Drosophila melanogaster: one gene and its partners. The protein of the gene in region 1 interacts with the protein of each later gene in a pairwise test. Each region holds a gene or a part of one and is shown in the gene's direction. Other genes may lie near its edges.

Evidence for each region.
Region 2: the proteins of Pex11c (region 1) and CG8861 interact in a two-hybrid assay, tested with the Drosophila melanogaster proteins (one large-scale study listed by BioGRID).
Region 3: the proteins of Pex11c (region 1) and CG30472 interact in a two-hybrid assay, tested with the Drosophila melanogaster proteins (one large-scale study listed by BioGRID).

What each region holds. Positions count from the first base shown.
Region 1 is NT_033777.3:23,257,120-23,261,152, forward strand, and holds Pex11c (peroxin 11c), read left to right. Parts: upstream 1-1,760; 5' UTR 1,761-1,790; coding exon 1,791-1,862; intron 1,863-2,557; coding exon 2,558-2,922; intron 2,923-2,982; coding exon 2,983-3,042; intron 3,043-3,101; coding exon 3,102-3,309; 3' UTR 3,310-3,483; downstream 3,484-4,033. Other genes in the region: wda (will decrease acetylation), read right to left, coding at 1-661, 722-880.
Region 2 is NT_033777.3:9,325,478-9,330,330, reverse strand, and holds the start of CG8861 (uncharacterized protein), read left to right. Parts: upstream 1-1,819; 5' UTR 1,820-1,889; intron 1,890-2,999; 5' UTR 3,000-3,310; coding exon 3,311-3,643; intron 3,644-4,853. Other genes in the region: CG12951 (uncharacterized protein), read left to right, coding at 6-137, 328-690, 753-1,055.
Region 3 is NT_033778.4:15,422,651-15,425,928, reverse strand, and holds CG30472 (uncharacterized protein), read left to right. Parts: upstream 1-1,789; 5' UTR 1,790-1,873; coding exon 1,874-2,245; intron 2,246-2,304; coding exon 2,305-2,428; intron 2,429-2,485; coding exon 2,486-2,628; 3' UTR 2,629-2,744; downstream 2,745-3,278. Other genes in the region: Stacl (Stac-like), read right to left, coding at 1,524-1,670, 2,834-2,959, 3,033-3,212.

The sequences.
Region 1 (4,033 bases):
TCTCCACTATATGGACATGCAACCAGGTGTAGAGTAGGTTCATAATTAAAACGTGGCCCCGTCGTTGGAGATAAGCGCATATCCTATTAACAACTACGGCTGTAGTATGTAGTTCGTATTTCGAAGATCGAAAATGGGCCACTGTGTCATCGGACTCTGCTGCCTCCAGCCGTGTGTAGCCACTCAGGGTTTGCACCAGGCGCATAAAGTAGTCCAGTTCCGTGTCCCCAGTGTCCTGGGCTTCCTTTGCGAAGCGTATGTTAAAAGTGGACTCATTGGCCGTAGTGGAGCATCCGTTGATCTTGGTAGGTGGTGGTGCATCGTACATATCCACGGGGGCCACCAAGTGAGCATATTTGCGCAACAACTCCACAGCGCCACGCGGTTCGCGAGCCTTGAGCAGATCCAGATAGAAGTGGCACAGCATGGGTCCATAAAAGCGCTTCATTTCCAGACGCAGCGGTTCGGCCTGGGCCTCCACGAACTGCGAAAACCGACCAAATTGCTGGTCCACAGTGTGCTGGTTGTTGGTGATAACCTGGACATTTGAAAAGGTGAAGCTATTGCCACCGTGCAAATCCGTATCCAGCATTTTGTTGACAGCAAACTGCTGTTTGTTTTGCAGCAGCAAAAAATCCGACCGCCGAAATCGTTCGTTGCTCTACGGGTTTGAATATTTGAACACTCTGAGGAATTGTATATTTGAAGATTATTCACTTACCACGTAGTTTTTCTGCTTCAGCAGGAGTCCCACGGCGCAGCGTAGCAAATCGTTTTTGGAGGAGGTCTTTTTGCTGCTCGCGCTCGACTTGTTGTTATTGCTGTTGCTGTAGACGGGCGATGCAGCATGTGCGTGGTTGCTGGCGCTGGGCAGGCTCATCGTTGCGTGTTAGCCTCGCTTTGTTCCGTATCCTGATCCCGTCCTGCAGTGCGTCCGATATGCGTTCGATTATAGTGCTGACAGCGGAGATGGGTTGTCCTATCGATGTGCATTCATCGATTTTAAGCGGCTGCAACAGCTGTTCTTTCAAAATTGTTTTCGTCAGTGATGGCTATTTGGCTTCTCTTTTATAACAATATTGATATTGAAATATTTTAATTTTAAATTTATTTTTACATTTTTAACTTATATTTATATTATATTTTATTTATATTAACTAGCTTTTTATTTTTAGCTCTATTATATTCTCTATTCTTAGCTAGTTTATTTGGCTATTGTCACCACTGAAGAAAGTCAGCTGTTTGTGTTGTTGGATTCCCGAGCGCTCTTGACAATTTCTTGTATTTTCGCTGCGGTATCTCAGTTCGAGTTTTTACGTGATATAAAACAGTACCTGGTCTTCAAAAAACGAGCCATTATGGGCACCACGACAAAGTTTGTGAACGAGTTCTGTGATATTATCGATTCCTATGGCGGGCGAGATAAGGTAACATAGAAGAGCCGCACAGCCGAGTAAATTTCCAATTAATTGAAAACACACCTGTTTGTTTACGTTTGAACCGAGTGTTTTTCCCAATTCGTATGCGCAAATTTAAAAAAATGCATCGTGGCATTTTGACTGGTTTCTATTTCCTTTTTGGACTGGTCCATTGAGGGGCTCGCTTGAAATCGAAACTGAACCAACAGGTTTCCATGTTGTTGCTGCATCGATGTTGGCATTGGTCTTTGGGTCTCGAACAAGGAAGCCACAGCAGTTTGGACCTTGCCTTACTTCTTTCTGATTCGCAATGGATTTTGTATTTCGCTTTTCGCTTATCAGTCGCAGTTCGGCGGCGATCGAGTCAAGATAATGCTCAATACTATAGCCGGCAAACCTTTAAGCCGCTACCAGATAAAGCGGATAATTCGTTATGAACGAAAGGTTTGTTTGGACTGCCGCCCATCAGGAGACACGCGATCCACACATTTCCACCATCGCGAGTTTATATACCCCTACAAGGGGTGTATACAGTGCAGACAAAGAGGGAATCTTGTATAGTGTATCTCTATTTTAATAGAAAAATCGAACCTTGAATACGATAAAATATTGTTCAAAGTATTTTAGATTTATTAATTAGAACAAATAATTTGTTATACTTGATAACCATTTGAAAATATAATATAATATATTATGTGGCTGTAAACAGCGAATGGGGTGGTCACGAACTTTGGAAATACTATAGGATATTTACATAAATTAGTCGTATAGCGACATTAGTATTCCTCCGAATTGCATAACTAATTCATTGATGGCAAAGCAAGCAAACTGAACCATTAATGGGTAAACAATGAAACCACCCACAACTCATTCCGGCCAGGACGGACGACCAGGAGCACTCCACTGGCGGCCATCACACGAGATGATTGTGGCATTCGTTGTATTCTTTTTATCGCTGATAGTATTTTATCTGTTTGTGACAACCAAGCAATTCCACAAATTGCAGGGCTGACTGGCGATTGGGGTCAGGTAGAGGCAAAGGTAAACAGCGATGCCAACTCTCGTGATAGAGCAAACACACGGCTTAACGAATTGCGCAGAACAATTATTACATATATGAAATTAAATACCTATTTCAGGTGATGAAGGCATTGTGCTACAGTGCCAAACTGGTGGCTGGCTACCATGCCAAGCGGAATCCGGAACTAGCCAAGCGATACGCCACCGCCAGCTCAAGGATCTCAGGTGCGAGAGCCACACTGCGTCTCATCGACGACATACCCATGATCCAATATGCTTTGGAGTATGGCTTGGGCGAGAATGAGCCCGATCGCGTCATGCAAGTGCTGGGAGTGACGGCCAACATTGTGGATTTGCTCTACTATCCCATCGAGAAGGTGTGCTGGCTGGCCGAGCACAAGATTGTGGATGTCAAGAATGCGGATAACTGGGACAATGTCAACTCCATATTCTGGGTGCTTTCGGTGTACCTGAACCTCATGAGGTACAGAAGAATTATTCGAATCGTCAGCTTTGAATTTTCAAATTAAATTGCATCTTCTAGGACAATGCGGAATTTTTCACTGAATCAGGAAAAGCTGAACCGAACGAATAATATAAACGAGTAAGTGGTCGTCAGCCGAAAACATCCAATAAAAGCTAACAAACCTTCCAAATCCATAGATTGGATGTGAAAACGTTGACCAAGCACCGCCTGGAGATGGTGTCCATCGTTCGGATCTCACTCGACTTTGTGCACGCCGTCAGCACGCTGCCGAAAGGATATTTGTGGGGCGGCAAGCTGTCCACCCTGCAGGTGGGTGCTATTGGCACCTTATCCGCTGGCCTGGGCATCTACCAGATCTTTGCCAAGAGAAGACTGAACAAGTAGTCGGTCCGCCGTTGTATTTGCAATCCGTGTACTCGTATTTGTTGAACAGAATTTTAAGCTAGTCGGTAATCGTTTTTGTACGTTGAGTTTTTTGTACGGCACTCGAAAGTGTGTTTAGCCAGTATGTCCTTTAAAGTAGCACAAAATACACGCTGAATAATTGTAAAAAACATGAGTTTTTGGTCTGTGTGTCCTTTATTATCTGTTATTTCTTTTATTGTGTGTTTTTAGATTCCCATACATGTATATGTCAGTTTGTGTATTGTTAATTCCCTTCTTAGCCAGCAGAATGTTTAACTTAATGTACATATATTGTCAGCCCTCTGGCGAGGGTTCATTTACCAGAGTTATTCGTATTATTTGTCGTTCACGAGAACGATTTGTTTTGTCGGTTTAGCAGTCATTGTATACAATGTGTCTTAGGCATATTTAAAATACTCATATGTCTGATATAATACTTGTTATGCATGGTTTCAATTTAAATATTTGGATTTATAGATTACATGAGGGACCAGATCAGTTGGTCGGGCAGGAGCCCAAGATCTGACCTCTATGGCTTTGGTTAAAAATAACATTTGTTAGTAAATATATTTTCATTGTACATAGTTTATTTGCTTGTGTTTGTGTGCCGTCGCAAGCGCATAAATATTAACAATTACTTTTTTAGTTATTATCGTTTTTAGTTTGCTCTGCTTGACTGCTTCCATTGGTAAGCTCTTTAGAT
Region 2 (4,853 bases), about 14 Mb from region 1:
CAAATATGTTGTCGAATCAAGATCTCAGTCTGAGTTTAATCGTTATCCTGGCCGTAACTACGGTTGGTCAGGCCGCGCCTTCCATATCAAGGGTGGTCAATGGTACGGACTCCAGTGTGCTGAAATATCCTTTCGTGGTAAGAAAATGTTAAGTGAAATATAATCCTTAAAAAAAGTATACAAATAGGATATATGATTAAAATATACCGGAAGTGTCCCAAATGAGGACAATTACTTAATCAACGGATTTCTGGTATTTTCGGATTAAATATTATTTATATTTAATTAATAATGTCAAGATACTATATTTTCTGTTCCAAATCGTAGGTATCCCTAAGGAGCTACGATGGCTCGCATTCCTGCGGTGGTTCTATTATTTCAAAACATTTTGTGATGACCGCTGCTCATTGCACCAATGGTCGACCTGCGGATACCCTATCAATTCAGTTTGGAGTGACCAATATTAGTGCCATGGGTCCGAATGTGGTGGGCATAAAGAAGATAATCCAGCACGAAGACTTTGATCCCACTCGCCAAAATGCAAATGACATCTCGCTGCTGATGGTGGAGGAACCTTTTGAGTTCGATGGCGTCTCTGTGGCCCCGGTGGAACTGCCAGCTCTGGCTTTTGCTGTGCCTCAATCGGATGCTGGAGTCGAAGGAGTGCTCATCGGTTGGGGTCTCAATGATGTGGGTTTCGATTGGAAAATATGATTTTAAATAGGATTATTTCATAGTGTGATCTTTTCTAGACTTATGGAAGTGTGCAGGACACCCTACAGGAGGTTTCCCTGAAGATTTACTCGGATGAAGAGTGCACCAGCCGGCACAATGGCCAAACGGATCCCAAATATCACATATGCGGAGGAGTAGACGAAGGAGGAAAGGGACAGTGCAGTGGAGATTCGGGCGGACCCCTCATCTACAATGGCCAGCAAGTGGGCATCGTGTCGTGGAGCATTAAGCCCTGCACCGTGGCTCCCTATCCGGGTGTCTACTGTAAGGTTAGCCAGTACGTTGACTGGATCAAAAGCAACCAAATCATATCGGCTTAGTCACAAAGTATATTGTTCAATAAATTGAAAATTAAAGCACTTAATAAATAATCAGATTGGCAGTATTTACCTGTTCCTTGGGGGGCGATAAGCAAATTATCTGTGCCATTATTATAAAGGCGTTAAGGGGCCACAAATCTTAGGAATTATATTCTTAACTATAAAATTAGCATATTGCTATTGCTGCTAATGAAACAACGTTGATTTGGCGCCAAAGCAGTGGTTTTAGTTATCACTAGGCAAGCAGTGCAAAGCAGTGCTTTGGTGGACTTATGGTGTTCATCAAACTGTAGTTGAAATTGGCGCTAGGTTCTGGTATTCATCAAACTGTAATTTAAAATGATTGTACGCATTTATAATTTAACGTAATATTAATTGTTAGGGACGAATTGAATTTTGATTTATTTTTAAATTATTTTTTACTTTTTACGAGTACATTAATAGTAAGAACAAAAGAATTAAGCGGCTTCCAACTGGATTGCTATGTACTTTCTGTGCCAATGAAAACCATACATTTCATCACCCTTATTACGGTTTTCGATGGTCTAGGGATGGCTGCAACTCCCTCGACTACAAATATTTGTGCTGCCGACCTTCATTAGCACTGAAATGAAGAAGTAAACAGTTTGAGTAGCACTGGGTCACTGGACCAATACGAAGTCACCCGACCCGAATCGAATCGCTCATCCGCCCCGTCGGCTGCTGCTGCTGCTGCGGATGCTTCTTCATGCTGATGGTTCTACGGCCGCGGTTTCAACTTCTGGCACTGCAGTCAACATTTTCAACTCAGACGGAACGCACGGTTTGGCGGACGCAGTTTGAAATAATTCAAAAGTTTGTGTCCGTTAGTTTTGTGTTTGAATTCAGAGTGTAAAAGAAAAGAAAAAACACATAAATCGAAAATCTCGATTGAAATCTCATGAAAAAGCAATTTATACAAACGCTTGTGAAATATTTTGAAGAGCATAAAACACAGTTTTTCTTATTTATTCAAATCCAAAGATCATGTCGACGATGTTTCTGCTGTTTTTGTGTTATTACGCTTGCCATTGAGGCGGCCAAAAATGTGCAAAAAATATTGCATTTGCCATAGCACCGAATGCGGAAGGTCGCCCATTATGACGGACCAAAACTCATTGCATTCATTCGTTTAATTAAAAAACAGAAACAAGTAAAAAAGGAAGAACAGAAATGACTTGTTAATTGGCTGCTGCTGCCACTGCGAGGGCCACACGGCGTATGCGTGATACTAGGGATTGCTGATTCTCGAGCGGAATAAAAGAGCAGAACTGCAAGCCCCAAATTGATCCAGCCCCCAGTTACCCAGTTTTACCCAGTTTTCCCCCGGAGCCTCATATGTATTTCAGCAAATCAAATCAAAGCCCAAAAGTAGGCAACAAAAGAACACAATGAGATCCGTAATACGATTTTGGCTCCTGCCGTTCCTCAAAGTATTTTCGGAAAAATTCGTGGAAACACTCAACGCTGAACGCATAGAAAAGTTCTTTTAAACACCCCTTTACCTCTTCCCTCCTCCCCCGCCTCGCACGCACACACACAAACACACTCGCATTCGCGCATTTAACTTACAACAAAAGCAATTTGAAAACAATTTTTCGAGTTTCGAGAAAAACGTGTGGCCCCGTGCGGTCGTGGCCTACATGCTTATAGGCTAAAAAAAAGATGGAAAGCTGGGCGTGGCATCTGCTGGCAATTTGTAACATTCCAAACAAAAGGTGCATGCAACAAAAGTTCCCAGAGCATTGAAGGCTTTTGTGATTTACGCGACATCCTGAGCTGCAAAAAAACAGCAATAGTTGTCACTCCTTTCTGAAAATGTTATAAAATTTCTCATTAAAAAATAAATTTTGATTGACTACATTGAAAAGGAATTTTGCATTGTAGAAATAACACAACTACAACACGAAATGATTGCCTTAATAGTATAATATTTCAATTTTAGCACGAACATCGTCGAAGATCTTTGGCAGAACCCTTTAAGCAATATAAATAAACGAAAACAACAATTAAGCTAATATATTAACCGACTAACAACAGTAGAAACAAAGTCTTCCAAAAAGCGGAACGATTCCACTGAGAGGAACAAAGTGAAAATTGCGATTTCAGTGAGTGCAGTTTGTCAGTTCGTCATTCTGCCCATTTGTCAGTTCGCCAGTTCGCCAACTCGCCAGTGTGTGTGTGCCAGTGTGTTAGTGAGTGTGAACTCTGCGGTAAAGGTCAGAACTCATATGAAAATGTCGAGCGGCAACCAAGAAGCAATGTCAACAAAAGCAGCTGTCAACTCGGTGAACGTGGACGAGGACAAGGCCCCGTCAATGCATATGCATTCAACATCCTCATCAGCCCCAGGATCGATTGCGTCCAGCTACCATGTGAAAACGCTGGCCATTCTGGTGGCCATCGTCTTGTGCAGCGGCAGCTTGGGATTCGCCGACGGGCTCAAGTGCCACATGTGCGGCCAGTACAACGAGGGCGTGGGCTCCATTACGCCCTGCACCAACTACACCACGGACATTGCCCATCTCTACCTGAAGGAGTGCACCAAGAAGAGCGAGAAGTTCTGCGTGGTGAGTCCATCATTTAACCCCAAAGATCTGAAAATATCAGCAAGTTCAATCTATTGTATTGCAAAATGATTGAAATTTTCAATCAAAATATCAAGTTAAATACTGCAAAAGCCTAGAATATTATTGAGCTTCAACTTGAATTTATGAAATTCCTTGAAGTCCCTATCAATTTTTTCCGTAAGAAACTATTGAAAAATACAATTTTGATCAATTGTATAAATTCGTTGATAGCAGGTTTTTCATTGCTTACCATTATTGGTGGAATTGTTCGTTCGTTCTTATTTATTTTTGTCTTTGCTTCGGACCAATTGAACCGAAATTGAAACGCTGCATTCATTTATTTATAGACTCATTCATTTTGGTTCATTGCTACTCATTGTTGTCATTGTCCGGGCGAGCAAAAAAAAGGCAAACCAAGAGGCAAACAGCGATAGTCCACCAGCTCCTCCTTATCCTCCTGCCCATCCTGCTCCTCCTGTCCCTTTCCGTTTCCTTCCTGCCATCCATCTATCGATGACTTCTCGAGTTGATGTTTCCATTTTATTGTTTTTCTCCCGTACCCATATTGATTGTGTGTGTTCTGTGTGGCATTATCTCTGTATATTTCTTACGAAGTAATATCGTTGGCAGTTCTGCTGTTGTCACAGTTTTGTTTCCAGTGCTCATCACAAAAAAAAAAAAACGGAACTATAAATTGGTTATAAAAACAAAGTGAATCATTTGAATTTGCAGGGAGATTGAGATTTGTGAGCACATCGATTTGGTTTTATTTCCCAGCAGCTTTAGAAGAAAATCAAATGGGACTTTTAATCCCAAAAACATATTGTCGTTAAGTAATTACCAAGGACTTTCCTTTATCGGGTTGCTGATTTTATAACTTAAGAGCAATAAATTTTTCAAATTGCTTTAAGGTTTTTAAGATCTAAAGCTTGGTTTTGGCTGCATTGCACTTAACAACGTTTTAAAAGGATACTTACTGTTTGTTAATTTTAAAAATTGTTAATTGTTATTTTTAATGAGTTGAATAACTTAACTCATTAGATCATTATAGCCCACCATCTGAGTCATCTAGGTAAAAGCTTTGCGCCATTAAAAACGACTCACATCTTTTCGTGATTGCGCTACGTATACGCGCTGTGTACCAATTTGCATGAAACACAAAATGAGGCGGCGTTGTTTTTTTGAGTGGCAACCCTGCTCATCAGCATGC
Region 3 (3,278 bases), on another chromosome or scaffold:
GTGAAATTAAGCGCTTGGCCACGAATTTCGACTACTTGGCTAGAAATTTGTTGTAGAAGGCAGGCAAAAGATTTGAAGTAATTCTGGCAGTGCTACATTAATTCGTTTTTTGTTTATTTATATTCTTTTCTATTTGTTTTTTGATTCGAATTCGTTGGGCGCACGGTGCGTATGCGTGATTGGTTAATAAAGCTAAGTTATTTTACATGGACTGTCGACTAGTTGGTTGCATTACTATTTTGATCATCGTTTGGTTACTTACGCGCTGCACTCAATTCAATTTATCTTGTGTGTGGCTATCAAAATAGAGAACAACTCGCCTAGAAAAGCCTGCCCTGAACTGCGCTCTAAAATTATGCATATATATTAGGAGGATATATATATATATATGAATGGTGTCTGTTTTCGGGATATATATATATTAATATATTTCAATTTTATTTGGATTTAAGGTTTGTGTTTCGTTTGCATTGGTTTCTTAGCTAGCCCCTCCAATTGCGCGATTGGCAGCCAATCGCACCTCAGTCGCGACGAAAAACGACGACGACGGCGCGTTTACGGATACGGATACGGCTGCGGAAGTACGGCTACGGCTACGGCTACGGCACTACGGCTACGGCTAATTTGTCGAACGGATCACCCAAGAGCGGAGCTGGCGAGCCGCGTTACGTATACGTCGAAGTGCAAGCACGTGACTGACTCGGAGCGACCGTTGCACGCTGCTTTTATAAACAGCTACATCGGGAGATGGCTCGAATGTCTGGCAACGCTTCGCATGCAATTTTCCGCGCGCGCTCTCTCTCTCTCTCTCTCTCTCACTCTCTGTCTCTCTCTTGCTCTCTCTGAAGTGACTTTTCCGAGCCCTGTTCGGCAACAGCTGATTCACTTGCAGGCCCAGAGGTTGAGGTTACAGTCAAAAGCCTGATGGTTTTTCCCAAACTCCCACGCAGTAATAGTTTGTCACACCAGAAAACACAGAAAATCGCACAGCACACGGTGTAATTTTGACTGAGTAACTCTCTTGTGAGGACCGCAAAAAAAAAACAGGGACCTAGCAAATGCAGGACAAAATCAAGCCAAACAGCCGCACTGACCACGCACAAGCTAATCTACCGCAGGACTAAGCGAAAGGCGAAGGACGAACCTGACCCACAGTTGGCTCCTGCTGGCGGCTTTCAGTGCTCCAAAAAGCGAGGGAGATGGCGAAACGCTTGGGTCACATGCGCAGTCGCCAATCAGCTGTTTGACCTACATACGAGCGCCAGTTCATCTGTACTTTCAAGCGTGCAAACGGGGGGCGTGTCGGGCGTCCCGACCCCGCCTAATGGAACTCATTAGATCTCGGCCATGAAAAGTTCACCCAAAAAGCTGTCAGCAACAGGTCTGTGGAAAGCTAAGTGAAAGCTTTTCCATGGCATAAACTTAACTTCGAAGTGGTTTCTTTTGCTGCTTTTCCAGCTTTATCGTGGTATATTTTCCCGCTAAACTTTATAGCTTTTCACCCCGACTAAATCGAAACTCACCTGAGCCCTTATGGCCGCCAAATGGATCTGCTTGGCTCGCAGGTCGAACTTCTTCATGGACAAATCTTCTTGAAGCTCATTGACCTTGTTGTACAGCTGACCCTCGATTCCACGGGTCTGCGTTCGATTTAGAGCCTCGATGGAGTCCTACGAGAGGAAAAGTAACCAGTCAAATTGATTATTTAAATAAATATTTTTGTAATAGATCTTGTAAAAGTTTACAATTTTTAAGAATAAAATGTATTTGTAATATTATAGATCTACTTGTAAAAGAAGGCTAGTTAAAAGCTTTCATAGGCAATACCCCAAATAACATATATTTAACTATCATTAAAAGCAATTTCCTGAAAATGTCTTCTAATGAGAATTGCCAAGGAAATCGCCGCATTTCGGAAAATCAGCATTGGAACAACATAAGGCTCAATTGTAAGGCCCTCCCAAGATTGAAGAGCTTCTTCTACTTTTTCGATTTGGAAAAAGGATGCAGGATTATAGCGGGCTTTGAGGCTTTGGTGAGCGTAATACAGATATTCAGTATATATCGTTTATCCAATCAATCAGTGCCAAGTTATATGATACCTGATCCCTTTTGGATCACAAAAATCGATAGGGAAGGAATAATCAAAAGAATGTTGCTTTATCATACAAGTAATCGTTTTTGCATGGGACTCGGATTGGTTACTGTTCTCAATTCTCTGCTGTTGCTAATTGGAAGCAAATGGGTGAGAGTCAACAGATGGTATTCGAATATAAAGGCTAATACCCATACTTTTTCGTCAAGGGCCACCAGGTTTGCCTCTTTCTTTGGATTTATATAACGGTATTCACCACTCTCATATCGAATATAAATAATAACTTAAGGAACCCAAATTTTGCACAAACTTTTCTAATAGTTCCATCATTGAGTAAGTGCCAAAACGTGAAGTCATTGCAAAAAAAATAAACAATATAACCTCTAACAGCTCTGGAGGGCTATTTCACATTGATAGTCGCATCTTTAATTTGTAAATTCCAAGACAAGCAAGATGAGTGTAACTCATACACCGAAATGCACACTTCAGATGGCAAAGAGTGCAGTTCTATCGAGAATACCGAACAGATATAAGCGGTTTTTTAATTGTATGACTTTACATAGTTTTTTGTGAAAGTTAAAGGATAACAGAAAAAAAAAACAATTGTGATATTGGCCACCCATTCAAATAAAATCTTTGGAAACATAACAAACCATTTTTTTTAAGTACCGACATGGCTGCGATATCGTACTGTGAGCTTTTATCATTTTGTGTATTATTGTGGATTATTCATCTCACCTGCAGCTGACGTATTTGCAATTCCAATTCGATGGCCTCCCGCTTCAGCGACTCCAACGCGGAGCGTTGTGACAGTGTGGAGTGCCGGTCGAAGACCAACTCGTTCCGCAGGCAGGGCGTCATCTCCTGCGGCGGACAGGTGCCCACAAAAACAATCACTTTAGTCCGCCGGACAGGTGTTATATGCACTACTACTCACGTTGTGGTCGCCCGCCTCCTCGCCGACCTCTGCTTGCGGCGATGCAAAGAGCCGTCTGGGAATCTTCTGGGCCTGCGATGGTTGGGCCAGGAGCCGGACGAAGTTCACTAGATCCTGTTGAGGTGAGACAGCTGCGCACTGGTTGCTCAGACTGTTGTACCGCTTAGCTTGGTCATTGGCCTGCGGAAAAATTATGATTTGGACACATTATTGACACAGATGTTTTGGTTTCCCTTAAACTGCAGT